2 linked regions of the Lepisosteus oculatus genome follow. The protein of the gene in region 2 interacts with the protein of the main gene of each other region in a pairwise test. Links are inferred from orthologs where the notes say so. Each region holds a gene or a part of one and is shown on either strand. Other genes may lie near its edges.

What was found.
Region 1: the proteins of pdik1l (region 2) and c25h1orf174 interact in binary tests that used the Homo sapiens proteins (3 or more experiments, as listed by UniProt). The two-hybrid records come from large-scale screens. The link is inferred for Lepisosteus oculatus from reciprocal best matches to the Homo sapiens genes PDIK1L and C1orf174.

Annotation. Positions count from the first base shown.
Region 1 is NC_090720.1:3,837,182-3,852,861, forward strand, and holds c25h1orf174 (UPF0688 protein C1orf174 homolog), read right to left. Parts: upstream 7,264-15,680; 5' UTR 7,132-7,263; coding exon 7,117-7,131; intron 5,165-7,116; coding exon 5,078-5,164; intron 3,857-5,077; coding exon 3,449-3,856; intron 2,821-3,448; coding exon 2,691-2,820; intron 2,238-2,690; coding exon 2,167-2,237; 3' UTR 2,162-2,166; intron 1,945-2,161; coding exon of another isoform or gene 1,901-1,944; 3' UTR 1,087-1,900; downstream 1-1,086. Other genes in the region: b3gnt7l (UDP-GlcNAc:betaGal beta-1,3-N-acetylglucosaminyltransferase 7, like), read left to right, coding at 10,816-12,063.
Region 2 is NC_090706.1:5,713,103-5,728,782, reverse strand, and holds the start of pdik1l (serine/threonine-protein kinase pdik1l), read right to left. Parts: upstream 6,281-15,680; 5' UTR 5,864-6,280; intron 3,280-5,863; 5' UTR 3,262-3,279; coding exon 2,977-3,261; intron 1,160-2,976; coding exon 419-1,159; 3' UTR 1-418.

The sequences.
Region 1 (15,680 bases), on a different chromosome or scaffold from region 2:
TGAAACTGAGCCAGAACAAAACACTTGAAAAATAAAATGAACAAAAGCTACTTTTGTAGAATTTACACATCAAAAAGCAATAATACAGTATGATTAGATTGAGAGAGAAAATACCCTTTTTATAACTGAGTGTGATCAAGTGCCATTTTTATGTTTTAGGCTGAAAAAATGTTCTTTTACCCTTCAATTTAATGCAGATGGAAGAAACAATGAAGAAATTAATTTTACAAATGTACTGCAGCCTTCCACTCATTTGGTAGATTGATTCCAATTCATTAATGTGTCTTCCAAATGCAATATTTGTGGTTCTCTAACATCTTTTTGAAATGTACAGTGATTAAAACTAATCAGAACACCAGAAAAGGCCATTCCATTATATTTTTATGGATTTTGTTTCATATCGTTTGCCATTTATTTTTTATTTGAAGGAATTTTTTTACTTTAAATTTTTAATTAAAAACGTGCTAAGATTTGGGGTTGTCATGACCTTTAGTCATAATAATCACACACTATAGACCTAATTACAATTGTGTAGTATCTTTGTAAAAAAAGGTTTCCAATCTACTCTAATTACAGCTAGGTCTCCAACCGTCTCAATAGCCTAATATCTTCTGATTTGAGAATCAGATTTGAGAATAATCGATCTGATTGTTTCCTGAGACCCACATAGGATTCCTGTCTCCTCAATGTCCTTTATAGGCAATAAAACATTCTCTTAAAATAAGTTGCCCCATAAACGTGATAAGAAGCATTACAGATAATTACACGAATGTATTGAAAGAATGGGTGGAACAAAAAAACTAAGAATATAAGAGACTCCAATTTCTACAGTTTTAACATACTTTTCATAGAATTAATTAAAAATTTAAAAGAGATCTGTCCATCTAAGTACAGTATCGTAACAAACTAATCACAACAGATTCCATGTCCCTTTCTTACAGATCTTTGTGGTGCAATGCGACAAACTTCTCATTGTTTCCAGGTCTCTCTCTATGTTCTGCATACTGGCCCATAAGGAAAGCCCTAACGTTTGCAATGATCATGTAATACCTCTTGTGTTGCAACTGCTTTACAAAACACAATAACTAGTTTTATAAATGCTTTTTAATGTAGGTTCACATGAAATGAATATAAAGTAAATCTGAACTAAAACAGCATTGATCTTGTACAAAAATACAATTGAACTTGCTTACCATTTCCCCAAATATTCTTCACTCACTGACCACATGTAGCATTTCACAACATACAAGATGTTATATTGAATATTGATTACTACACATTAATGCTCTGTATATCACTTTTGTCAACACTTTTGAAAACCATTTCAATCTAACCATTAATTTTTACAATATAATCAGAGCAACACTATACGTTATGTCTTCAAAGTTTATTTTTGTATTTGTGATGAAAATCATAAGTAATCCAAAGCATAAGTCTTTTGAGCTGTTTGCATCATTCTATAACCAGAAACGACATCCAAACAGCAGTACAGTTGGTAATAAATCAACATAAAAATTAATTCCAGCAATAAAGACTAATTCCATTATTTTAACATTTAAGGCAGTATTGGGCATTTAATATAGGTACTACAGTAGTGTAGCGCAATGGTGAATAGAAAAAAATAACATGCTCATACAAACTTTTTCAAGTGTATTACAGTATATACACACATCCAGGATTGCATTACATTCAGTTATAAAGTAAACCCCTTCATTTCTACTTGACCTGAACACATTTTCTTAAGTCAATCTTAAACATTGAGCAAGCTCCTCAACATTATATAACAATCACAAGCACTTTTTTACAGTAATACATTGCTTGTGAGTAAAATAAAAACCATTTGGAAAAGTGGCCTTGATACTTCTCACAAGGATGGGTTGCCTTTTGTCTTGGCTGAAGATCAAAACAGTCCATTTTTTCTGTTCTTTACTTGTTGCAAGGCTCCTGTGGGATAGAAGAAAACACAACTTTGCAGACCTCAGCTGTTCAATCACGTATGGTGCAGCAGTTTGAGCGCTATGCCTATCAGCTCTGAAACCGTCTGACTCCGTTAACCAAATACAACGCAGGAAACCGACAGATAATGGAATTACCAGAAGCATTTGTTGTTGGTTTTTTTAGCCATCGGCAATGAAAATGACCAAAAAAGGAAAATTAGTACCTCTCTCATCTGCTCCCATTGCTTATGTAGCTTCCTGATTGTATGGTAGTGTTGCAACTTTCTGGAAGGGGAGATTCTACAAATAACATTTCGGATAATTTTCCAATCAGTATATATTGCAACAGAGGTGCCAAGCTCCACATTAAAATCTGTGCTACCCTGCAATCGGCTTCAGTCTTTTTAATAGAACCTGCAAAAAATGGAGGTATGCCATGTGTCATCACTTGTTTAACACTCAGATGTATTTGATACATGAAGTTCATTGGACATGAAGTACTGTGTGTGTTATAGCATCTACATTCTGAAGAGGTTTTCTTAATCCCTTGACCTCACTAAAGTCTCTTAATTTAAAAAAGTCTATTAAACAGCAGAATGGACTGAGAAACTGCTCAGCTGGGCTGCTTCATGTAACTGCCAGTACATGATTCAAGGCGATGTCTTGGTGAACTGAGGTTTTCCAGGAAAAGCGATTGTCAAAGTGATTGGGATTTGCAACACTGAGTCCCCAAAGACAACGTAAAGCAAATACCATTCTGCTGAGGCTGTTCCACGTGGCTGTCTTCGTAGAGGTCATCCTCGTCGTCTTTAGCAATGAAGTGTAGCCTCCTGTACTCCCTCCGGCTCATTGGGACTGTTGCTGGAGCTCTGGGAGGATCGTCCTGCAGAACAAAACCATATTATCATAAAACCTTCAAGCTATGCGCGCTGATCTGGTGGCTAATCAGGTTTAAGTTTATCCTGGCTTCTGGGGTACAAGGCAAACAGTTCTGAGTGTTCCCAGATCGGCGGCTATGCTAGTCCCCTGCAAGATCACTCCCATTGACACTGCTACTCGTTTTAAAAGCTGGGCAGAGTCAATGTGACACCTTGTTCTTCACTCAAGGCTACATCACCTAGGGACATGACTACACAGCCTTCCGGTTTGGTGGCCAGAGCCCTGCTCACAAGTTGTTTTGGACACAGCCATGCACATCTGCAGAGTATGTAACCAAGAAGTCCTGCGATTTTCTCTTTCCATAAAGAGGTGGTCATGTTTCCAGTCCTAAACTATGACGTGCAAGTCTGTTTCTCTTAAATCTGTAACTTACTAAACCAGTTTCTCATGACTAATTTGTGATAAGTGTGTTCTTCAACCAGGCTTGTATCTGCGGGAGAAATTCTGCTCTAAAATGTTCTGCACTTCAAGGTTTGAAGTCATTCATTACCCAGGATGGGACGTAATCAAACAAAAGGCCTATTTCCATAACAATACCATTCCACCACCCCTACCACAAGCAGATAAGGTACCTGTACAAGTTCTATATTCCCAAAGAACTGGCCCACTGGCATTGGCTGGTTACTGTCCTCGTCCAGGAAAACACTGTTGTCCATTTGGAGCTCCAGCTTTGGCACACAATTATCAACTGCTCTCTCCGCACTCGAGTTCATCGCAACACCGGATTCAGACTCCAAAGTCCGGCACTCGCTGGCTCCTGTGGCGCTCATCTCCTCTGCCTCGGGGAGATGGCTCTGTGTGCCTCTCGCTGTGCCGAGCTCCCTTGCAGAACTCCCATTGACGCCCTGCTCCTGGGCTGTTCCTCCCGACAGGCCACCGACGTCTTCGGGGACATCTGCCGACGTTTCTGGCTGCGGTTCAGGCACTTCACATTTCTGCCGTTTGACAGAACGATGGGATTCAGTCTTCTTCAAGGGAGCCTGTAAAAATGTAAGTCTTTCATGAAATGTGAGGACCCTGATTTTGATTGTTGCTTGACAGAACAGACTCCAGCTTCCCTGCAACCCTGAACGGGGTGAAACAGCCCTTTTCAAAGTTACTAATAATCTTCTTATCACCTCTGGGCCTCCGATTCCGCTTCTCTATCTATCCTTATTCTCCTAAATCATGACATCTCACTCTCCCACCTTGACACTGTTTCTGACATGACTTTTACCTTACTGATCACTGACATTTATCTGTCTTAGGGGTTTTAGTTCTGAAGTTGGGCCATTAAGACTGGTGTTCCTCATAGCTTGATACTGGGCCCTCTGCTATTCAGCATTTCCATGTTCCCACTTGGTCAGTTATTAAAATCACATGGTCTGAATTATCACTTCAAAGTTGATGACTCTCAGGTCTACATCCATACTAAACTTGACACTGTAGCAGCTGTTTCTATGCTCTCTAATTGCATCTCTAACATAAAAAACTCCATGACTCAAAACTTCCTTCATCTGAACTGCCACAAGATTAACTCATGCTTCTAAGCACCTCTCATCAACTATGTAAAGCCAATGCAGTAACCCTATCTGTGGATGACACTGTACTTGAATGTCAATCTAAATTGAAGAATTTGGGCGTGATATTTCATTCCGGCTTGGCATTTGAACACATGTACAATATATTGTAAAAACATGTCAGGAACATCACCGGACTATGTCCTATATTCTCTGTCTGTAGCAGAAAAGCTAGTTAATACATTTGTCTTAACTAGAATTGATTACTGCAACGCTCCATTCGCTAGGGTATCTAAATCCAAACAGAATCCTTAACAGGTCTTGTGCAAGTGATCACATTACTCCTTTCCTGGAGTCCCTGCACTGGCTTCCTATCAGGTTTTATGTCAAATTCAACATCCTCATGCTCACCTATATGGTCCAGACCTCTGGAATTCTATCTACAAGGATATCAGAGAGTCACCTACCCTAGGCACAAAATCCAGACTCAAAAACTTCTTCAGAAAGGCTTTTATTTAGTTGGTGTCTTTGCTCCTGGCATCTTCTACTGCATTTTTTAATCCCTTGTGGTTATACGTGTTAACTGTTTTCTTTTACCTTTTCTGTAAAGTGTTATGAGAACCTACTTTTAAAGGTTTCTGTATAAAATGTAGTTGACTGTTTATTATTATTATTATTATTATTATTATTACTGTGACTGACCTGAACTGAACTTTCCACTGCTGTGCTGAGTGAAGCATGGGAGCTCTTTCCTTTGAGTCTCTCCGAGCTCCGGACTTTACCCCGGCCCTGGAAAAGAAAAAGGAAAAATCAACTGGAATAGGAACACCGATACAAACCTGATACAGCCATCCTTTTACTAACCTCTTCTCCCATTTCAGAGGCTATCCTGGCAAGCAACAGGGTACAGCCTGGATGGGATGCCAGTCCACCGTAGGGCAGACAGACACGTACACACTCACACCAGGACCAAGTGTCACAGAAGCCAATTAACCTATCAGCATGTCTCTGGACTGTGGGAGGAAACCCAAGCGAACAAAGGAAAAACAAACTCCATACAGATAACACCCCAGGTCTGTAATTGAACCCAGGGCCCCAGCGCTGCAATGCTAACTATAGCACCACCACCACCAGGTTGCTGGTTCAAATCCCACGGGCAGCAGAGGAATCCTACTCCGTTGGGCCCCTGAGCAAGGCCCTTAACCCCAGCTGCTCCAGGGGCGCCGTATAAATGGCTGACCCTGCACTCTGTGTGCCTGTGTGTCTCATTGCTTACACTTACATAGCACTTTTCTGGACACTCCACTCTAAGTGCTTTACAGGTAATGGGGATCCCCTCCACCACCACCAATGTGCAGCCCCACCTGGATGATGCGACGGCAGCCATAGTGCGCCAGAACGCTCACCACACACCAGCTATTAGTGGGGAGGAGAGCAGAGTAATGTAGCCAATTCATAGATGGGGATTATTTGGAGGCCATGATTGGTAAGGGCCAATGGGAAATTTGGACATGCCAGGGTTACAACTTTTTTAGAAGAAACAGATTTTTAGTGATGACAGAGACTTTACGTCTCATCCAAAGGACGGCGCCTGTTAACAGTATAGTGTCCCCGTCACTATACTGGGGCATTAGGACCCACATGAGACGCAGGGTGAGCGCTGCTGGCCCGATTAACACCTTCCAACAGCAACCTAAGTTTTTTCCAGGGGAATTGAATTTTTCCATTCATCTCCCATCCAGGTACTGACCTGCTGAGCTTCAGTGGGGTGCCAGTTACAGAGTGATATGGCTGCTGGCGTTCTAGCACTATGAGAACTGAGAACTATGGCTTTGTTCTCACACATAACAATACACAATTATTGCCCACCACATCATTCATCATGGTTTCATGATAGCTCTCAATATAATAAAATGTGTAAAAGATATGTGATATGGGAATATAAAAGATATAAGATATTACAATGTAAAAGGATCTATTAAGGATCAATTTGCCTTACTTTTTTAGATTTAACTCTCGGAAGACTAAGGTTACCTTTAAATAGAATTTCTCACCACTCTTTACCACAGCTAACTCCCTTATGATACATAATCCTTCACACACAACATTCCTGCCGGTTATTGTTTTGGAATGAGGTGCTGCTAGAACAATACTGGGTTTTTTTTTTCCAAAGGGAAGGGTGTAGAACTGAAGCCTCCAGCGAAGCCACGCTGTCGGCGCAGACTTCCTGGGATCCTTGTGGAAATGGTTGGATCAGATGAACCGAACTACTAGCAACCTAACGTGCGACAAGAATTCAAGGGCCTCCTCTCGCTCGAAACCTTTCGTTTACAGAACATCTCAGTGTGCTGCGCTGTAACGCATTACCTACCGGCGGAACAAACCTGGAACCCGAGTTCACACAACCGGGGACACAGCGCAGGCACAGACCTCGCTACCCTCGCAAAACCGCCTGAACGCGTCTTCCAAAGCGAAACACGGGTCTGAAATCTAGTTTCTGGGAAATTGAACTTTTCTTGGCCCCAGCTTGCTTTTTCAGGAAGCTTTTATTATGTAAGCGAGGGGTGTAAATATTTACAATCGTAATATAATTTGTATCCCGAGTGTTACAGCACGTCCAGGCTCTCTCGTCTCAAACTGGCGAACGCCGGGGAGTTGTCTCCGTTAAAAAAGGCCGGTCTATCGCTATGTACCGCGCCTACACTTTTTGAAACCCTGGAAGTTTCTCCGGCTTAACCTACCTGTTTTCGACTCATTCCCAGTGCTTTACCGAGGTAGGCAAAAGTTAATAAGTATTGCCGGGGAGGGTAACGCACAAAAAAAAAGTTTCTACAAAAGCAAAGCCCGGTCGGCTTCAAAACTCCAAGCAGCCGCTCGTCAAATGACGCGACTGTGCGCCAAGCCCAGCCCACCGCCGGGAGGGCCGGAGGCGGCCATTGTGGGGGTTAAGGGTGCGCTGCGTCTTGGGGTGCTTAGTACGGGGCATCTTCCCCCAGAGGCACAGGTTCTTTATTAATCGACACGTGTGCTTTGCCGATAGATTAGAATTCCATTTTTTTTGCAGCTATCAACTCGATTATTAAATGCCGAAATGCAACACGGGCGTGTGAGATGTAGTGTTCATTGTGTAAGAACTTATTTTGTATTATTTGTATGACTAAGCAGGTGTTTAATATATCGTGTAACGATGGCTTTTGTGCTGAAGACATAAAAAACAAGATGTGTCGCTGTTATTATTATTATTATTATTATTATTATTATTATTATTATTATTATTATTATTATTATTATTATTATGTAGATCTTCTTAATGCCACTGGGTGGTGCTAGGTGCATTTCTCTTATTTTCTAGCTTGCATCAGGCACAAGTACAATCCTTGCTGCATTTGCGTTAATACACAGTAAGCAGAATTTGTGTGGTTTAGCCCTCGGGGCTCTTTCGCAAATCGAGATTACTTAGTTAACCGAATAACAAAAGTCTGACTTTTCGGTTTCACGAAGCGGGATCAAACAGCACCAGGTTAAGCCTTTAAAACCTCTATATTCCGAATGTTGTGACTCATTATTTACAGAAACTCGAGCTCTTGAGATTCTTGGCCACAGTATTTTTACTGTGTTCGCGACTCCGAGCGCATCAGCAAAGCGACAGTGCGCCGTGTGATAAGGACAGTGGTGGTTGCACTGCAAGTCTTTATATTCATTCATAACGATTCCGGGCCGTGCAAAGAGGAGCTTCCCTCTACTTGTACTTTTTGTTTCCTGTACATAAGTCCCGCGATCTACTGTATATATTTGCATGCAGGATTTTCTAATGTAACAGGTGCTCTGAACTGCACAGACATTAAAAGCCCCACCGGGTCGAAGGAGACCGATTTTGTTAAAAGAAAATCAATTCACGACATCAATGTACTGGTGGAAAAAAAAATTATAGCCTAAAAAATATGAATTGATTACACAAAAAGTCCATTATCACCATGTTTCCTATGATATTCGATGATCCATGATGTACGGTGTCGAATCAGCAACATGTAGACTCGAATATTCAGATAGTCCACATTGCGCTTTAAATTTAAGCAAGGTATTGAACACAAGCAGCCATTGGTCTGAGGTACACTGTGCTGTGAAGATATTGCATGTAGTTCCATCGATCAGTGCTTCCAGTCAGTTTGACTGGCTTCTTTCTGGGGATAGGGATTATGGCAGCTCCAACATCTAATTGACCCCTTCCCTGATCCAGAACCTAGTAAAGACAAGAGCCCACATTGAGATGACATTTGGGATCCTCAAGTCAAGATGTGATTGTCTTAGTGCTCTGAGGGCAGCCCCAGACAGGCCATGTCTAGTTAAACGGTGGCCATTGTTTTAGGATATATTCTCTCTAATTATGTCTGGGTTAATTTTTTCTTCCGATTATATTTAGGCCACATTTTACTTGGCTTGAGACTTTCATCAATATGGTGGTGGGAGTCTCACCTCTACTAATCGATTCAGATAAAAAAACGTTGGTAAAAAGACAAAAACCCAATAAAGGAATAATTCTTTATTGGGTTGATTATCTTCATTCATTATTACCAATATCTTCACTATTAACGTTCAGTCATCTTCTGCTCATGATTCTTGCTGCTGGCTAAAATGAGGTATCGTTTTTATTCAAATGTTGCACAACACTGTGTACAGCATTTTACAGTTGTTCTAAAGAAAACCACATACCACTTTGGATGATATTCTTGTATTTTGTTTTTCCATTGCGGTCCAGTTCCATGCATAAAATACTGCAATTACTGCCGCATGAAAACAATATTGTGCCGTGATAGTTTAAAAGGGGGCTCCACTTCAATAACATAATGATAAACGTTAAGTAAAGATAATATATGCATGCTCTCGCCATGGTGATAGTTGTGTCATATCTTGAGATATTTCATTATTAACTTCTGTATCGGCGATACGGTGTTAGGCGACGTCCCCGGCTTTTGCAGCATTTACAGTATAACAGCTTTTATCTCCTCATAGTTTTCCAAAAGGAGTCGTAATTCATGGTCACTGGAAAAAACGCACGTTCACACTGGTGCTGGTGCTGATGAAGGAATCGATGCGGATAAAGCATGCCATTGCCGACAACACTGCTGTATGCTCTACTGTTCGTGCATTGATAAATAAATCTTGATTGATTGATGCTCTGCTGTCTTCTGGAGGTAGTCGTGAGCGCGCAGGTAGTCAGACTGGCCTAACTTGTTCAATTTAACCAGAAACCGGAGTTCTCCGAGGGAAAACGGAGCAAACCTGAAATCAGTTATCGATTTAATCCTATCCAGCTAATCTGACTGGATTCTGAAGTAGTTTAATTTATTTCACGAAACAGACGGTCTCACCTGCAGTGTTTTGGTTTGTGTGTGTGAATACTGGGTTATTTATTTTTTGATAAATTACTGTATGTATCAGCAATATATATATAAAGACAATATAATAAAATTGTAATTCTGCAAACTCGCAAGCAAAATTAAGATTTGGTATGCAATGTTTAAACCAGCATTTAATAATAAAAAAATAATAAATTCATGTACAGAAAGAAATCCGCATGAACGGCAGTAACATCTGAAACCACTAATCTTTAAACACCTGTGTGTACACAAAGAGTCGTTAGTGTCTGGAACAGACTACCATGGTACTACTCTTGCTTCCTTTAATAAACTGTTGAATGAGATGACCAGACCAATAAACTGCACGGAAGCAAACTGGAAAGATTGGCCAAATGGTATCTTATCGTTTGTAACCTTTCTTATTTTCTGTATACTGTATTAAAGCCACAATTTATGAGCCGCTTTTCAATGAGTTATGAAGGGGAACGCGTATTTCAATATTGCTACGACAGAAACTTCGCGGGGTGCGGTTGTAGGCGGTTTTGACTTCGCCCTCTAAGGTGAAACGAGAGACTTGGCTGTCCTTTAGTTGCTCGGAGAGGAGGTGTGGGTTGGGGAGGCTATGACAAAAAAAAAGTAGCGGAGAAGTAATTAGCAGACGCAGCGGACGTTGAAACAAAGCACAAATGAAAACGCTAGGGAACAGTCGGACCTTCCGTGTGAAAAGAAGGCAATAAATGCTCTTCAAACAACGGGGAAAGCGAAAGACAGACACGCGAGCCGCGCCGGAGTAACTTCTGGAAGACATTGGTATTCCTCGCCAGTAGGCATCCGCAGAAAGTAGACAAATTTCAAGCGGGATATCAATGACTGTGCACACAGGTTTCTTCCACGGAAAGATTTCAGTTTCGGGGATCATGCGTTCCCCGCAGCTCACTACAAGTGTGGCAGCAATTGACCGTTTCTATTACAGACTGCGGAATTTAAAACAGCACGACCAGACGACGGGGCCGCTAATTGCACAATGAAAAAAGCGGATTTTTATTTAAACCAGGTTTGCCTTTGCAGCTACTACACCTTTGTATGCTGAAGATAATGGAGTATTTTTTCAGACGGAAGAGAGCGCTGAAAACTCTTCTGAGTTTGTCTTTGGTCTGTGCCACGATATTAATGATCCAGAAGTTCAAGCTGGTGGAAGAGGCCGCTAAGGGCACTTTAATGGTGAAAACCAGGGCGGACGCCGGTTGGTCCAGGGTGAATAAAAATGTATTTAAAAGCGACTCTTACAATCATTCCCCCCTGGGACAGCCTGAGAATTCGGAAGCGGGTCATCTTGTCCCATTTTCCAACGTGACGCGTAAGGTTTGGGATGTGACTGCTATCAACTGCAGCGAGAATCCCGACGTGAAGAATAAAGACTGGTTCAAACGCCTGGACCCGAGATTTCACCAGTTCGTCCTGTACAGACACTGCAGGTATTTCCCAATGCTGATAAACCACCCAGAAACGTGCCGGAGCGGAGACGTGCACTTATTGATGGTGGTCAAATCGGTGATTGAACAGCACGACAGGAGGGAGGCGGTCCGCAGGACGTGGGGCAGAGAGCAGGTAACCGGTGGGAAGAGAATCAAGACTCTGTTTTTGCTGGGCAGCCCTTCCACCGGCAAGGACACGAAGAACCTCCAAAAGCTCATCCAGTATGAGGACAGGATATACGGAGACATCCTACAGTGGGATTTCATGGACACCTTTTTCAACCTCACCCTCAAAGAGGTGAATTTCCTGAAATGGTTTAACATGTACTGCCCCGGGGTGCAGTTCATATTTAAAGGGGACGACGACGTCTTTGTGAACACGAACAATCTACTGCAACTGATTGATTTTAAGACAGAAGAAGGGAAAGTGCGAAATTTGTTTGTAGGGGACACCATTTCCAAAGCTATTCCCATTAGGAACCGTCAGAGTAAGTACTTTATTCCCAGAGACCTTTACGACAAACCGTACCCCCCGTACGTGGGGGGTGGGGGCTTTTTAATGTCTCCTGAATTAGCTCGGAGACTCTTTATCGTCTCTGAGAAACTGGAGCTTTATCCCATCGATGATGTATTTCTGGGCATGTGCTTGCAGAAAATAGGTGTCGCCCCAGAACTTCATCCCGGTTTCAAGACTTTTGGGATTATGAAGCGCAAAATCAGTCCCATGAACAACGACCCATGTTTCTACAAAAACCTTCTAGTGATCCATAAGATGAGCCCCACAGATCTGCTTAGAATGTGGGATACAGTGCAAAATAAGGACTTGATATGCGCCAAAAAGATTGTACTGCCCTGAATGAACGTATAGTTGTATTCCTTTTACCGGGCTCCGCCTGAGACTTCACTGAATTTTTACTGGATAAGATTTATTTATGTACTGTATGCGACGTGCAACTCAGCTTAGGTGTTGACAGTTTTAACTAAGGAGGCTCAGTCTGGGAAGAATGTGTGAATTAAATGACACTTGATCTTTTAAACATCTGATCACAACCTTATGCCAGTTTTACATCGTTAAAAAGCCGAGTAATTCATTCACGTCTTTTCTTAGTTTGTAATTGCTGTCAGGGGTGTCACGGTACAGTATCCCTCTGTGAGCCCATAGGAACAAAAACGTTCTCCTACAATATCCTGAACTTTCGTCTTTATAATATTTAAAAATACATATTTTTAAATACGGACAACTGTTTTCTCTTGGAGATTTGATTTGGTTTTCAGACTCTGAATGAACTGCTTATGTTTCTTTCAGACTTCATGGACTTGTCCAAATTTTAATTTACATTGACAGTTTGATTTTAAAATGGCAGTCGTGGTCCATTAAAAAAAAACATGCACCCAATACAAAAGCCAAGTGTTTTACGTTTTTTAAATAAGTTTTTCAGAAAGTAAGTTGGAGGAAAACTCAAACTTAGGTTCAGATTTAACGACTATGTGGATGTAACGTGAAAACAAGCTTCTAGTGGAATACATTCTAAACTGAATGCTTAACAACTTAATCACATGGGGAAAATACAAACAATCCATAAACGATTTTTACTCCTAAAATATTACTAATACAATTTGGCCTAGGTTTAGGCACTCACTGAGCAGAGCAGCTTAAAAATAAAATTACTCCACGCGACATATCTGAGAACCTGTTTTCTTTTCCTCCTCTCAACATTTAACAAAACACAGTTTGGCACATTCACTGTTTAATCAATAAAACAGAAAGTGATTACTAATTATCCGCTTCAGAAGGATGAGTGGAAATACAGTATATTCACTGGATACTGAAGGAAGTGCTGATCCTTTATTTATAAAAAAAGTTCGGGGCTAACAGAACACAGTTTCTGTGTGTCAAAATCAACAGCTAACAACAATGACATGTTTTGATTAAGAAATAAACATTTGTTCTCAGATAACCAGCAAGACTGGGCAGGAAATGGCAGTGTGCCAGTTTGGTTGGACACTTGAGTGGCAGGCTGCAGTTGAGCCAATCATAATTCATTGTTAACCAACCTCAAATTAGTTTTGGCCCCCAGACGTATACTGTTTTACAGCGAAAGGACAACTTGGTCAGTCTCTTTCTTATATATATTTAAGATTAAATGTGCATATTAAAAATGTGTGTATTATCATAGGGTAGTGTAAAGACAAATTTGTTACAAATAAAAAAGTAAATGGATTTACAGTGGTGCCACAGTCCTCAAGAGATGTATATACATATATAATGCTGAGAGGCAGTAAAAATGCAAAAGATGAGTATTGGAACCAACAGCATTTATTGTGCCTTTAATGCCCCTTACTATACATACTGTACAGTATGTGAAATTCATCATTGTCTAGATAATGACATGATTTAATACAGCTGTGAATGTAAATCATTATTGTCCTGGCATTATGGAAGAACTACCAAGAAAGAAGTTTTGTTTTTATATATATATAGCTGGCCACAGCCTGCAATTGTGAGCTTAGCTGTTCCTGTATAGTCAGCCACTTCGACATCATCTGCAGCAGAGCACATTTCCCCTGGATGGTTTGATTGCAGTCGGTGTTAGAACTTTGACAGTTCATGAAGAATCACATTGTGCTTGTAAATCGGACATGTTGTTTTGTTTCCTTTGCAGTTTTCAAGATTCATATTTACTGTATGTCAGTTTCGTTTTCTGGCAAGAACATTCCAATATTGAATTATTTAACAAGATGCACAGCTAAGTAATATTCTTCAAAGGGAACCTTGGAAGTTCTCTTTCCCAAAATATGAGGCAAATCAAATATATTCCTTGTTTTTTTATTGCAAATATTGAGATACCATTTCTTACTCTTTTTACTTGAATTGCACTAATAACACTGTTTTTGCAACACTGTTCACTGTTGTTACAGATAGAATCTATGTCTTTAACTAGAAAAATATGCTACTTAAGAAGCTGGGTGGAAGTATTTGTATTATTTATTGCTTTTACTCAGAAAAATGACTGCTGACTGGGCCTTTCTTAAAACTGGAGTCAGTGGTGATGCCCTTTACAGTAGCTTCCTGTTTTCTTTTAACTTTTTAAATAAACACATCCCAGCAACGAATTTTCAAGTTGCACTCAGAAGTGATGCATTATTTCTATTTCCTTACAGTGCTGGACATTTGAATCGTTTCACTCTGCTGTTATTGTCACATTTTCCTGACAATGCTGGATGTTTAAATTGTTGCTCTCTGATGCAATTAACTAGAATGGGTTCCTTTACCAGACGATCTGTAGCCTCCAAAGAACTACACAGTGTGCATGTGTGTGGAGTATCTCCAATAAATAAAAAAAAAGTTTTTCTTTTCAATGCAATAAAAAAGAAACTAGGTTTCTGGGACTGTAGTTAGGTTGAGTATGTACTTTAAGCTTCACATTTTCATTGCAGCTTGTCAATAAGCTTTTTTTTAATACCAGTCTTCATGTATTCATTCTGCCACACCCTTCATAATTTTGGAGTGCTGCAATTTCTTTTTTGTCCTAAAATGCTGATGTTGGCAAGAGTTTTGAATGTCATAAGCAATCGGAGTATTAATGTAGTTTTTCCATTTCTGAATTACAAGGACTGAAAATAAAGCCATCTTTTCACAGACTAACGTTAAGAGTTGTCAAATTTCCAAATGGAATGGCTGCTGTTTACACAAACTCTGTCTTTCTTAAGGCCTCAAAGAACTGCCATTCATGGAGCCAAAACAGCTACACTTACACCAGGAGGGTTTTGGGTGTGTTTCAAGATCAGAAGCGTTTATAATTTACATCTAGAGCGCAGTCATCAGTGCTCTGGGATGCCATGGAAAGCAAAGTTGTGTTAAAGAAGAGGTGCAGGTTTACTGGAAATTGTTATGAGTGTCTGAATATGCTTACTGCTTTTTCTTGTTTATTTATAAGGAAATAGGTTTGGAATGAACCTTCACATTCATTCCCATCTCCAGTTTAGCACCAGGTACACAAAACAGAAGGAGGATTCATTTAAAGGAGAGGGTAAGATGTAATATTGTAAAGATTAAATGGTGGATATAAATGCAAGACACACTGGGACTGTTGTGCTTCTTAGACATGCCCTAATTGTGTGTCAAAGCAACTTTAGGCCGTGGTTTCAAGATCTGTGGAGGCTTAGGCTAGTCACTCTTTTCTCTTTGATTTTGCAGAGCCTTTTGTGGTTTTCTGCTAATGACAACTTCAACATGCAATAACAGGTATCTGAATCACTCCTGATCCAGAAAAGACACAAGCCATTGATATGTTTAAGGACATTGTTTATTGATGTGAGTGATTAATGAAACATATAACTCTTCTTTTGCTGTTATGCCATGAAAGCTTGACGATGTCTAGATGCATGACTGCTCACATACATGACTGCCACACTAATCTTAATAATCGGAGTAAATTCATTCTTTACAGATATACTTTGCAGTGCATTTGG
Region 2 (15,680 bases):
CTGAAGCTAGTTGAATGTCCAAACAGCATTTCAAAATATCCAAATGAATCTTGTTCCCTGTGGTTTTTCCTTTGAACTAGCAGCATTTAAAAACTATACCCTTAGCAAGCACTGTTGGGAAAGCCCTCAGAGGCAGGGCAGCAGCAAAGTTCTTTGTGGCTCTTAGTAAGACATGCACCAAGCAAATTCAAATAACCACCATGAACTTAACCTTGAAAATTCAATTTTTTATGGACCACCACTGCAGTTATTTCTACAGTTTTGTTAACTTCGTTTTCATTAAATTGAATCCCTGGTTTCAGACGGCAACCCTAGAATAGTGTTGTTCTCTTGAAAAGGTCTGATGCTCCATTGTCTACAAGTCGTTCAGGAGTCACAGAAAAGTTATTTAGTGTGCGTCTTGAAGTTTCCTTTAATATCACGTATCCCAGTTACATTCTTTGCAGGCGATTTTTACTAATCTCAACTCCAGCTCAAAGGCGTCAGGCCGCTCCTGTGGATTGGCGGCCAGCATCTCCTTAATGAGTTGTTTCATGCTGGCATTCATGCTTTTCTTCTTGACGGGGATGTGGAGTTCCATTTTGGGGTTTTCTAAGAGAGCTTCCCCAACAGGCACAATCTCTGAGCCCTGCTTGACATAGCTCCCCAACAGTTCTTTCTTGGTCTCCGTATCAATGAAGGTGATGCGCTCCAGCATGGCCCAGATGATGATACCCAGAGCAAAGATGTCTGCTTTGGCTGTGTAGTGACCCTCCCACACCTCCGGGGCCATATAAAAGTCCGTTCCACACGCTGTAGACAGGAAACACTTGTTGACATTAGCGGGCTCTTCGGGGTTAAGCCCAGAAGATGAGCACACCTTGCTCAAGCCAAAGTCTGCCACTTTGAGCGTAGGCTCAGGCACGCCTGTGGGAGTCCTGCTCTGCGAGATAAGGATGTTGTCTGGCTTGAGGTCCCTGTGGATGATCTGGTTCTTGTGCAGAAAGGCCAGGGCACTGCCCAGCTGGAGCATGAAGCTGGTGTTGGTCTTACGGCTGGGCTTCCGTGAAAGCAGGTAGGCGTTCATGTCTCCCCCGTCGCAGAAGTCCATGACAAACCACAGGTAGTAGGCGCTACGTGGATCAAAGGCAATCTCTCCTTTCAATGATGTTTCCACCAGCTTGAAAATAAAAAAGTGATGTTATTTGTCAACACTACCTGTACAGATATAAGAATTTCATTTTATTGCAGGTGATAGCTTGCAGTGCTATAGTAGGATTGCAGAGATTGATATCAGCAAGGAATCTCAGCCTCAGAACAAAACATGGTCATTGTGCTAAAAAAGCAATGACAGTCCTCCAGAAAAAATGAAAGTGCGCTGTGCAACTTTCACACAAAAAAGGATGAAGTGCAAATAACGCTTTCTATTTCTTACAAGTGCTAAATACAGTAGATTCTATGCAATTTGTAGAGAAAAAGGTCACATGAAGGACACGCAGATTTCAATATTTTGGATTGATAAAAGAGGGGAAATCATCCATTTTATACAGAAAAGCCTATAACAAAATGAAATGCATTGTCTGCATTAGAAAACAATTGAGGCAGTTACATAAAACACCAACAGAAACATTTCTGCAAGAAACCTGGGATGGCTGCCAAAATTCCTGCCATGGCAAAGCACTGAAGTGACTAACAAGCTATTTAAAATGCTTTCATGCACTGCTGTGATTTCATAATCAAGAATTAAAAGGCACTCTCACCGAGATGTCAATGTATTTATTACTTCGGAGACGCTACATGCACAGGATAAAACAGTTTAAACAGGAGGACGTTGCAGTAACTCCTGAAAGGGCACCACCTGACTCGCATTTAGCCCTGACCCAACAGCTGGACCTACAAGTGTGCCCAACCTTTCTCCACATTAAGGGCACAGTGGTGACCAGCCAAAGCACAAAGAGACACACAGACTAACACCCGTCACATAATAGCCCAAGGAGAAAGAGACCTTTTGAATGCAAGAAAAAAATGAAAAAATAAAACCCTTTCCAAAATCTGCTACTATTCCTCTGTAAATGTTGTGGTTAGCACCGATCATGTGAACACTGGACTGGAGAGGAATGTGCTCTATCAATGAAGTGCAGACAAAACTAAAGAACAAGGACAGAGCTAAGAATGAGATGCATCCTAACTGCTGACTTAGAAACATCCGGTAGCTTGTGAGTACCTACAAGCTCCGACCTGCAATTTACCATGTACAGTATAGGTGCTACACAAAAAAATAGTCCAGGTCACAAAATTCTCAGGAAAAAAAACACCCATACTGTAAAGAAATTCCACAGTAAAATGTTAATACAATTAAACATGTCCCTTAATTAAAAGACTCAGATTATATACAACTTATATATTTAATAAATAATATTTAATACTATTGAAAGGTAAGGTAAAATTTATAAAATCATTAAAATTGGCTTAGTTGACACCATCATCCAGGGAGAAGAAAAAAACACTTTCAGTGAGATTCTAAAACCTGCCTATTAAATAGATACCTGTATTAAATCAAATAAATAATTTATCTAAATAATATATATATATAAACAATAAATTATTGCAGTGCTTATGGTCCTCAATGATTTGGTGATCAGGAAATCTCTTAATAGTCAATTAATATTAAATATCAGTATTCTCCAACAATTACACTGGAAAAATCAAGAGTCACATCTTCACATTTGCTGTATGCAAGGTTAACGGCAACCTTGCATGTTTGCAGGACATGACCCCGAATAAACCCAGGAAATTGCAGCAGTGGGTGTCATACAGCAACCCACAGGTGTCTCCAACAAACTCCACACACCCACATCCCAGTGGGGGAAGCATGATTCTGTTTTCAGTGCCACGGCACCCATGCGGAAACACAGTCAGGCTTAAACTAAACTGGGGCCGGCAAACGTGAGACAATAACGAAACTGGCGATCTTCAACAAAACCAACAGCCGCATACCTGCAGGTAGAGCGAGGAGCTGGAGCCATGCGTCATCCTCTGCACCAGGCTGTCTCGCTGCAGGATGCACTCTTCCAGGTGGATGACGTTGGGATGCTGGCTCTGGATGCTGCTCAGAGCCCAGAACTCCCGCAAGGCCAGCTCCACGTTTTCAGGAGCGTGGCACCGGATCTTCTTGACGGCCACACGAGCTCCGGTCTTCCTCACCAGTGCCTCGTACACCACACCATAGCTGCCACGCCCCACCTCCTGGATGAGCTCATACTTGGGCTGGCTGCTCACCATTCTCTCGCCACCCACTCGCTGAAACAAAGCAGACAGAGAGCTGGAGAGTGCTCTCCCAAATCGACAGTACTTTCATAGTTGGCAGTATGAAAGGGGCAGCAGAGAATTCATTAAATATTTGAATGTACATAAAACAAGTTTGATGATTTCAGCAATAATATTTTAAACTACGGTATCATCCCAAATACACCTTTTAACTCCCTAAACCACTAAACCTTTTAATATATAATTTGGGTTTATTCTTGGGTTCACTTGGGTTAATCAAATTTTTGCAGTATTTTCCCCTCCACTATTTTGCTTCTGTTGTAGAGTCTGACAGTTCCACGTTACAACACAGTTTGCAGAAAACTGCTCAGATATAAGAATTAATGCAAAAGCATTATTGTGGTGTATCCTACTGTGAAATCAGAATCCTTTTCCTCATCTTAAGCAACCAGAAAAAATATTTAACAGCAATTCTTGTTAAAAGTGTGCTGAAAAACATATCTCATTATATTAATATTAGGCCCATAGTGCTACTTAGTACAGGATAACAATAAAAAATTAAGCCAGCTTTGTACGTTATAACAGCTTGTCTCATACCATGGTAAAATTAGATTTAAGAGAAAATGCTATTGATTGTTAATTCCTTTTCTCAACCTATGTCTGACACAGAGCTCTACAATTTGCTTTCACCTTTGCACGTGGATACATTCTGGACTGTCATTTCAGTCCACAGGCTGTGATGTTGCAAAAAGCACCTGATGTACAAAATAACCACATGTACACAGCCTCTACTTCCTTGATTGCAACTTGAGCAGAGCAGTCTCTCTTGGCATGCAATTCGGTCTCTTCCTGTCTCAGCTGTAACGTTCTGGGCCTCGAGATAAATAAATGGGACCTTGTATAGAACCAAAGGCTGCTCTCAGTGGCAAGTGAGAATAAAGACTAATCCCATGAATTTAGTCAACCAACAGTAATGCTGTTAAAAAATGCAATTCTTTTAGCATCTGAGGTATATATATATAGACAAAACAACTCACAATCTGAACTAACGGTATTTTCTGTAATACTCCTATCCAAAGGCTGAGCATTATCACCATCCTACACTAACATGCTGACTTGTGTCCAGGTTTCTCTCGTGCTTTGTTTTAAAAGGGGGAAACTATTCTAAAAGCTTTAAAACCTTCACAAAGATGTTGTAAACGTCTCTTAAAGAGCATGCAGCTTCTGCCCTTGCTCGATTTTGAAACGGAGTAGCTCAGTGCCCTGCACTTAATTTTTAAAACACGACTGAAAAATGCAAGGGAAAGCAGCCATTCGCAAACACTCTGCGATTTCCTTTCAAACGTCAGAAAGCAACCCTTCTATTGTTTTCTATTCAACTAGGTCCAGTTTGCAAAGGGCGAGCCAGTGCTTTCACTTTCTGTACCGCACACAGGAGTGTTCCGGGAAGATCCCGCTCCTAATAAAGCTACGAAGCACAACCGTGTGGTAATGCACTGGGACGTCTCGTATTTCAAAACACACCGCTTGTGACAAACGTCAATACTGGAAACTCTCGTTACTGCGGTTTTGTTTCGCGCCTCAACGTCCTTTTTAGGCACCAAACTCTAGAAAACTCGAGTGCAACGTGGTGAAGTTACTGTTGTCACTGTTTACCTATCATTGGGGCTACCCGTCTAAAACACCGACTGGACACTGGACTGCACAATGTCTTTACTCGTGAACAGTGGTAAGGGTATCCTACACGGCGAGGCTAGACTGTCTTCAGCTCATGTTCGACCTCAATGGCCCCTGTCATATTAGTGTGTAAGCTAGGCATAAGCCATCACGTCAGGTTTCTGAAATTAAACCCAGCTCAGTCGTATTGTCGGTAATGGACCGCTCATTAACAGAAGAGTGAATTGTAAGCCCACGAAGTGGACTGCAGCTCCCGCCTGCGGTGTGTGCACCCCGAACCAGAACCAGATCGGGCTCAGCCGCGCAGGTGGCAAGACTGTCAACTAAAACCACAGGCTAGAATAGAGCATGCCGCACGATCACCCTGAGCAGAGCCAGGGACGTGAGCGTGGTTGTGAGCCGTGCAAGTCCTGCTCCTAGCACCCCTGTTCAGAACATGGACACAACAACACCAGGCGATGCCGGCGCATTTGGGATCCAACGAGAAAGAAAACAAGGTTTCGCCCGCACGACAAAATAAGGCCCGCCACCATCCGTGAGCAGCAAAACGTGGCTCCTGAATATTTTATAGTGCAATACACAAACACAATGGGACGACAGGCGTGTTGCTAACAATGTTCCTTCACACTGAAGCGAGCCCCTCTTCACAAAGACCGCAAATAAGGAGACCGAGGACCTGGATTGCGTGCGAACACTACGTTAATCTAGAAAGTTGAAAAAATACGAAGGTTACTACAATTCCCCTCAGCTCTTTCGCACACAATACTGTGTGTAACACTTAATGGATCCGAAACCACTGCTTATTGTCCCCCGTGTCCCTGGACAACAGCTTTTCTTACACCAGTGGGGGATAACCCGCACGTCTTCATCTACCTGCCACACGACGAGGAAGGCAAATCATCAGATCAAATAAAAATAAACCCCCCCCAAAGGATGTTACCTGATCGAAACGTTTTTCTCTTTCACGGGATCATTTGCTGCCTTCTCCCCCGCGCTGTGGATTTTGCTGGCAGCCATTATAGACCGCCGCGCTCGCGCTCGCTCTCGCGCTGCTTCCCGTGCCAGCGAGCTGCGCGAGTGAGCGAGAGGAGCTCGCGGACCTGCTTCGGAGGAGCTTCCCGGTCCCGGCGCGCGCGCCCGCCCGCCCGCCGCCGCTCACCCTAACGGGAAGGAGACGGTAGCTCTGAAACACACGGAAAAGCAAACAAACAAAAAAACCACTCCCCAGTGTTTTGGAAGGATTGTTTCTGACGAGTGACCTCTCAAAACGAGAGAAACGTTTCAGGACAATTTAACATCTGGGAGCAGATTAGGGTTCCCCACCCCCTTTTTCCTCCATCACCCAACCCAACCAAAACAAATCTCTCCTCCCTCCCTCTCCCTCCCCTTCCAAGACAAAATATTTGACCAAATATTATTTTTTTTTATTGAACTATACAAATGACAAGCTGATACACGAGAAGAAGAGACACTACGATGGTATATTTAATAGCAGGGGGCGACGTCACCCCGCAGCCACGGCCAGAGCTCGTATAAGAAACCATTTTCAAATTCGGTGCACGCGCCGGGCATCGCTCACTCCGATAAATCCGGAGGGGAGTCATTCAAGAACTCCCTTGCTCAAGGATCGTTTCCCAAAACATAGATCCGCATTTAAATAGTGTAATAATTAATATTTTTTTCTAAATAACACGGTCTATCCTTGTCTAAGATCTGACACGATATACTTTCCGCGAAAACAATTGCGCTGAAAGCCCTCTAAAGAAGTATGGATTGGTTCGCTCCAAGTGGCTCAGGGACGGGTAGGCTTATTTTAAAAGGGTGACAAAGGAGAAAGAAGTGTTTGTATCCTGAAGAAAATGGGGTTCGTCCCTCATTTAAATAGACAGATAACAATAAACCTCACATAAAAAAGGAAGTGGAATACAGAAACGCTGCTTGCTTTACACCTATTAAGTAACGTTTAACGAGAAAGACGCAACCGCCCCCCTTATTTTTTACCCTATGAAATATTCTCTTAAAGGGGCCGCTCCAAAAACAGAAAGTTCACATTAGGTTTTTAATGGGAAATCTTAACAGAAACAAACATATGAAACCTCCCAGGCAATCTAAAATGGCTTACCTGATAATGTTAGAAACAGCTCATGTACACTGGAATGGTCATACTGTGACACATATATTTCAGATCTGGTGTCTTAAATAAGGGGTTCATGGAAGTTCACAAAATGTTTAGTGGGACTAATCTTCAATCGTCAATTTAAATCTATACATAAAATCTATCAGCGTTCCATATGTTTAAAATAACAAAAAAGTAATGAAGAAACACCCCACCAGAGATCCAATCCCAACCTGTTCTCCTTTCAGGAAGGGTTGAAGTACAGGGGTCAAGGGTCAAAGAGCCTGGATTTACAATATTACAATATTTAAACCGGTGGTTCCCACTTCTCCAGTCTGGTGAGCTGGGCATCCACGTCATAACTGTCACATTCTCATTTCGCAAGAGAACCGACGTTGCATCTCTCTTACCCCGATGAAACTGCGCATAAAGCTTTTGGAACATCTAGAGTTTTCATTCTGAACCGACTGCTCTATAAAGAAAGCGGATGGATATTTAACTTGTCAGTCTCGATGTGTAGTGCATAACGTGGACTGGTTGGAGACTCCCTGGAGAGGGCTGCGAGAGTTTTTGTTGTGTGAGGGTGTGCGCTGTCCCTGCTTCCCTAATGGGAGGTTCTCAAGTCAGGAAGGACCCACAGCAAGGGCAGCAGGGGATGTCCAGCACTCAGTACTGTGCAGTCAGGCTTCTTTGAGACACTCCAAGTGGAGTTCTCCAGAGACACTGCTGGCCAGGCTACAATATTTCAACCTTCACATCAGTCTTGGGGGAGTGGTGTGGCTCTTTGGTCACCATGTCAGGTGACCAGTAATTGCCAGACTGAATATGACTGTAACATCTTGCCAGGTTAGAAATGGCTGTCGGTGAGCAACACTGGACTAACATAGTCCAGCCTCCTATACAATAAGAATGTGAAAGTGTCATTAAGTGGTAAGTTGGACATATTGGTTTCTTTCTGTGTTTTTCTTTCTTGATTTTCACCAGGCCTGACATTCAACACATTAAGCCCTCTCCCATCACCTGTGCCCAACCAATTCTCTCAGTCACAAAGTGATTTAGTGCTGATGCTACAAATTCACTCGAGTGTATCGCCCGGTCAATCATAAATAATCAATTAATCAAACTGAAGCCAAAAACATCAAATCAATATTCAAAATCGGTATGATTTTTTTCTAAAAACACACAACATAGAATAAAAACAAGTTCTTTTTTTGCACGGTATACAGATTTTTTACATTGCAATAGACAAATAACATACATTTTAAGTGAATTGTGACAGAAACACACACTGAACTATTACATGAGTATTAAGCCACTTTCTGGGTTAAATAATGAGAGGAGAGGTACATATTAATATCCTTGATACTTTAGCTAGCCAGCTGGTTTGGCAAGGCTTGTTAAAATTATGCTTCTGGTTGGCGTCACAGACAACAATGTTAACTTCTTTAAGCCATGGTCCTCTTATCTCTTCCCAAAAAGTTTTGTATACTTTTTGTACTGATGATGCTCAGACCTTCCTCCCGCTGTTACTGTCTCACAGCCATCTTCTTCTGGAGGCACCGCCATCATCTTCAATCACCTCTTGATTGAGTCTGGCCTCCCTTTCGTCTCATTTCCCCCTTTTGTCGTCCTCTCTCTCCCCCTCTCTCCACCACCGCCCTCCTCTCCCGCTCCTCCTGCAGTCTCAGTGTCCCTCCTGCCCCAGCTGTCTGTTTAGACAGCTCTGTTGATCTCTCCGCTCTCCTCTGCTTCCTTCTTCCACCTTTATAGTGCATCCCTGAAATTCGAACAATTCCCAGACCGTAACTTGATAAGCGCACTTATGTTCTGTAGACATGGGAGACACACCACCAAGATGCTCACATTACTGCTTTGCACCCATGCTGTATACAGCTTTATTTTTTACTGTGTTGCATTTATTTTCTTAATACTTTTTAAATTAAGCTTTCTGAAAGCCAGTTTAAACAGAATGCTGCAATATTCTCTGTGAATCTTCTTTCAGTCTCTTCTACTGGGGAGGGGGTGGACTCTTTAACGTTTACAGAGAATTAAACAAGAGCTTACTCTCTTCTTTCCTGGGTGAAAAGATTGCGGGGTTTTCTGAGGATAGTCTAGGGCCATTTCTGAATTTCCCATGCAGATAAAAAAAAAACCCAGAGTAAGAAGCACCAAACAGAAAGTACATATCCTGGATCTTTTAGAATGAAGGCAAAAGACACATGTGGTTCTTATATGGACATACTTTTATTAACTAGAAAGCAAGTTGTAGATGTTTTTAAACACTACGAAACACTGTGATCACAGTTCTGTTTGTAATGCATGCTTCAAATACTTAAAAAAAAGAATAAAAAACCCAAACAATCCCAAAACCCACCTGGTTTGGTTGACACGTGGGTAATTATAAAGGAGTTTAAAAGGAAAAACACCCCAAAGCTGGAGTTTTACACATAAACCTTTGGTTTATAGCAGTAAACATAACTACATTCTTCGGTCACTTTATATACAATCTTTTGATTTATATTAGGCATTTACACCAATAGAACGCACACCTCTGAATGAAATGTCTAATTTAAAAACAAAACAAAAGACACACAATAAAAGCACAGTTACACGTACACAAGGGCCTCTGTGCAAGTCATACGTGTTCCTAAGTTGTGCTTAATATGCAACCCTGAGTATTGTTTAAAATGAAGATGACACTTTGGTGTGTATGGTGTTCAGATAGCAGGGTATAAAGGAGAGTGTGGCTGTTATCTATTTCCCTGCAAGTAGAGGATCTGAAAGCACAACGGTAACTCAAATACCATGGCAGACATATTGCACGTCACCACAGACACTGCATTCGGCGATTTGGTTTCCTTCTTCTTTTACAGGAGTCTTAAAAGCCACACAATCAATTGCAGCAGGAAATACAGCAGAACTGTCCTTACCCCACCCAATATGTCTATTGGAGCAAAAACCCTTTTGTATTCAAGCTTCAGCCTTTTCCCTCCTCTCCTTCTGTAAACAATGGCAATCTGCCCTCTTCCCCTGCCCAGAAGAGAAACACACAAGCCCTACTGATGCTTCAGCACGAGGAACACTTCCCCAGCTGTCGTCCCAGAGCCCAAAATGGCTATAGCACAGACTGCCGCAGGCGAGTAGTAAGGGAAATGTAAGGAAGACTCCCTTCATGTGCACTAAATGAAGTCTTTGACTGTGGGTCCGCAACCTTTACTTTCAACATTAAGCTGATTTTTCCAGTGATAAAAAAGAATAATGAGATCTTCCTAGCTGTCGTGGGTCCTTTGGTTTCTAGAGGGTAGTATTTTCATTAGTGTTCTGAGGCTGTAGAAAAATGTAGAACAGGATAAACTTTATATTTTATAAAGACTAACTCATAAGAAAAAACATACCACCCACTGAACACCTTATTCCCTACAATCCTGATTTGGACCTGGCCAGTAGAACAATCCCCTGGGGTATAAACCATTCTTATCTGACAAGAGATGGAGCCACAAAACCTTAATGAGAGGAAGAAGCCCGAGTCTCCTTTCAGGTCCAGAAAGATTTTCTTTTTTTCCCCCACAAGGAACTACTCTGATTCCAAACCCTAGGACAGAGTTGTTCCATAGCCACTGTCAGGTAATGTCATTAGTAATGAGATGGGGTGCTCACTTCCCTTCCTCAAGGGAAGCAAGAACCAGATACTGGAAGGGACAGTTTAAAGCAGCCAATCAGTCCCACTCTGCCAAGCAGCTGGGAGTTGGGAAGGTATCTGAGTGCACAGAAAAGGAGCACAAAAAGACAGAGAGAGCATGCAGGAGGGTAGCCAGTTCTGGAGTCAGGCCTGCGAACATGGAGATGCAAGCTAGCAGTGATAACACTACCACCCCTCCTTGCTGTCAATATAACTCATGATCAGTATGAGGAAGGAGAACAAAGCTATGCTAACCAATACCATAACCATTCTGGGACCCGGGGGGTACCCTTGACCAAGCAAGACCTAAAGGATGAAGGCCTCTGGCAGCATTTGGCCACACAAGCAGCAGTGAACACACCTGGCTGCCTTCTGTCATCTCAGAACACACACGCAGGACTAACTCGACACCAACGGCCACCCATCTGGGCAGAGAACTGCATGCACCGGCGCTGGCACAGCTGGCACAGCGTGTGTGGACACCAGCGCGAGGGAGGAAAGAAGATTCACACATCGACACCCGCGCTGCACAATTCTGGAAATGTCAGACATCACAAAAAACAAAAACAAAACAAAACTTTCTACACGGGAAAAAAGGACAATGTTCTGGTTGCCCCAGTGCAGCAAAACCCAAAGGGTAACTACAATGGAGGCGAATTGCCTTTGTCCCTATTCACACTACAATATCCTGAGGTAGACCTGTATAGATTGCTTACAAGGTTTTTCATCTTGTTTTCATTTATAATAAAAAAACAAACCCACCACCACAACACAACACTAGGACACAACGGGAGGAATCGGGAAGCATGGTGTTTAGTACATTCCTAAATCATCCTAAATCACTGGTAAGACGCTGCACAGTTTGTCTGATACAAGACTTACTACAATCTTACTGTAAATGTCATATTTATATTTGAGAAGGCCTTCCAAGCTAGGAAAATCTTCATACCTTGCAGGATGAGCCTATGCCATATTTTCTAGTTCTGTCTCCACTGAACTCTCAATAATATGTCATCAAGTCATAATTATGCTGCCCTTCCGTCCCGCTGTGGGAAAACTGCACCTACTCTAATCCCCCTAAGGACTGAATTACAAAAGAGGAAAAACATCATACAATAGAACAGTAGTATCTGTACAATAATCATATACAAGAGCAGAGTGCAACAGATCCACTGGACTTAATGCATCATGATTATATGGAGGCATATCGAAAGATTATATATTTTATATTAAAAAAAGAAAAGGTTATTAAGCATTCATTTCAAATGTCTCAGTGCTATAACTTATAAAAGGTGATAAACTGAAGAACACTATGCAAACAGACAAATACTGCTCCCTGGTGGTCAGAGTGAGTATTTCCCATCAAAAGCTGAAATGATTTCAAATTTGGGAGTTCAGTATTTTTTATATGTTTAATTTTAAAATAAGAATTTTAAATCTGGTTTTAACTAGGATCATCTTAAATTCTTCCAAGGAAGTATCCTGGTAATCTTTCAAGAAACTGGAACTCCACAACATTCAGATAAAAATAAATTACCATTTTGACCATAACCCCAGACACCTTGTGTATCCAAGATGCATTTTGGAAATAAGGAAAAGAAACATACATAGTTAAAGATTATATCAGCTGATTTGAGCATCAGTTTCACCAATTAAAATAATGAGTTAAAGTCAGATTTAGCACTTATTGTGTTGTTTCTATTCAGCAATATTTGATTTGTAACAAAGAAATAAGCACTGTCATGGCTGGTTAAGCAAATTTGTGCCTGTAAACAGCTTAATACTACTGTCAAGGAATATCTACAAAAGGACCATCTGTACAAATAGATGACAGATCTTAACTCTTAGACAAATCAATACGTGCTTCAACTAATAAACACAGCTCTTTTTAAATATGTCCAAAATCACAAAAATACACCTACAACCTTATTTAGCCTGTTGTAATAATCAAGTCCTTTAGCCACTGCTTTCAAGTGTGCTGTACTGAGGACTGCTGACTGTTGCACTTGCTCTTCTTAAAAAATAAAAAACAATAACAACACTTTTCTATGCACAACCAAGATATGATTTTGAAAAAAAGATTTTTCACATCTTTGGGCATACAAGCAGGTTCTTTTGTCCCTAACTTTTTACAAAAACACAAAATACAAACCGAACAATTATGAGATTCCATTGTGTGTAGGAGACTATTGGAAAGGGTGGATGTCAGAAAACACATCTTACTACTGACAACAGCTCCTAGCTCCCAGAACACAGCAGCGATTCTTATCTGGTGGAGATTTGCCTGCTTTTCCAAGCAAATGTTAAGTTATTAATGGATCTTTTTAGTCTTTTCAATAACTGGAATTTTTAAATATATTCCTGTTTCCAGTACACTACATTCAAAATATAAATATACACAAATCAGAACAGCTGTGCTCAAGACAGAGTATGTTTATGGCATGGGTTAGGTCAAAGTTCATCCTTAAGCTACATAAAAAAACATGGGAGGCCATGCTTTTTTGTTAAACGTTACACTCCAGAATTGCAGTCCCCAGTCCCCTAGTTATTAGAGCAAAGTAAGACGTGATATTCTACACGCAGTGTCAGAATAAAACATCCAGAAATTGTCTGGTGTTAATGTTTCACCATGTAAGAGCTAAAACTGCTCTCTTATTTAAAATCAAATGTTTGTCAAAACCTGTGCATTTGATCAAAATGTGTTTGTCGCACAAATCCAATTAAGAGGGCTGTTAACTTGGTTTATGTCTGCAAACTTAATTTGCTTCAGGAATGGCTATGCTTTTCAGAGATTCAGATATGGACTCCATCTTACTGGTGCTGTTTGGCAGTTTCAACGTGTCTACCATTTTCCACTGAACCACTGAAAGCTAGCAGAAAGCCAGTCGGAAGCTACTGGCCTGTTGTGTGGTAGGTTTAGGAGCTGTATGACAATCACTTATCCACCCTTTCTATTCCTACCGAAACTCCCAAGACCACAGAAGCCAATTTTAGATATCCCTGAGTTTACGTTTCACGATTCCTGAGAAACAAAACATCATTGCAGTCATAAGGATCTTCGGCAATCTTAAAATATACAAAAATACAGAACAAATACTTTATATTAAAAGATAAATGCATCTTACACATGATTAGTGCAGAGTAACATTGCATTGGTTTTAGCATAGATAAAAGGACTTTTTGATGCTCTCAAGTAGAGAACGGTATTGTAGATCAAAGGTAAAAAAACAGATTGAAATGGATGCCGCTCTGAATCACGAGCAAGCATATTGCATCATGTGGTGGAAAAGGCAAACTGTGGGACAAGACAACAGGTCAAACATAAGGAGAAGTTGTTGAGGCATGGCAGCAAATAAATAATGACTTAAAAGTTGTGAATGGTTCAGAAATACTTACTAAACAGATGGGAAGTCTTTGGCTTCTCCTTGATTTAAAAAAGTCTAAACTATCCTTGATGGGTGCCTAGTCACTGGGAGCCAGCCATCCAAGACAAGCTCTTTATTATAAACTCAATCTGGGATAAGGCCCTTTGAAAACAAACCTAGGAAAACACAGACAGTAAAACATGCAGCAATCCCCTGGAGGCTGTTTGGCAATATACAAAAGTGAAAACTTGGTACCCAGCTCCTTTCCATAATGAACTTTGCCACCACCCCTTTTTTCATCCTAAACTATTCTCACTTCTCTCATTTCCTCTTCTCGTGAAGGAGAGCACAGCATGTCAGCTCTTAGGAGGTATACACAGAATGACTAATGGCACAGAACAGCTAGGACAATGGCATTAACTGTTCTGTCCACTTCTGGCATTCTGGCCTCATTCCTCCACGTTTTTCCAGAAGGAAAGCTGATTGCCACATTCCCACCCATTCCAGGTTGATAATGACGGTTTCTGTATGAATCTTTCAATTACAGAATTGAAATGCGACAGGGCTTCATCCAGTCAGATTCCTAAGCAGCCTTCAGGAGTCTGCTGCCAAAACTCAGCCATGGTCATACCTGTCATTTGTCAAACTAAAAACACATGGCTGTTTATCTGCATCCAATCACAAAGACTCTCCTGCCGGTGATGCCTGGCAATAGCTTTCTGGTAAATGGAGGGCATGAGGCTCCCTAGCCTACAGCTCTTTCCTGCAGGGTGTGCTGCATGTGATGAGCAATGCAGATCAGAAGGGGAAAGGAGTTGTGGCACCAGTCTTGGCAATACTGTGCATGGTTCTGTTCAAAGCAATGCCACGTGCGGTAGGTAAACCGCCTCATTCAAAACATTCATTTGGCCCCTGGAAATCCAACAAACAGCACGTCTTTGGTCGATGCCCCCCTCCCCACCCCTGCCCCTCCCAAGAAAAATAGAAACATTCATTCACAACTGTCTCAATCCACGAACTACACCTTCATCATTCATATCGCAAAGGTGTAACAGTCAGGAAAACCATAACCTTTTAGAATTGCTCTTCCTGTTATTCACATGGACAGTACAGTGGGGAAACCAGTGTACCAAAGGTTCATTTTTCCCCATCTGTTTTATCCATCCATTTCCCAACGGATTATGGGGGAGCTGGAGCCTATCCCAGCAGCCCGGGACGCCAGCCCATCTCTCTCATCTCGGCTCAATTGTACACAACACTTCAGAACGTCTAAAGTTATAATATTAACTGACTTCTTTAAATAAATTGGATTATTTGTAACTTGTTTGGATGCAAATTGCATAATTTAGGTCATTTAATTTTTTGGGTTTAAGACTTCTTTTGTGCACTTTCTCAGTTAACAGATCCCAATGTATTGGTACCCTAAAGGTTTGGGATGAAATCCCTGAAAAACACTGTTGACTCGAAGAGAAACTAAATGAAGTAAAAAAATAAGAGCTTTTAATACTATTTTTTCATGCTTTCTGTAGACTAATTCAATGCACACAGCAGTGCCAAAACAGATCTGCAAAAATGAAGTTTCCTTTAAAGCTATCAA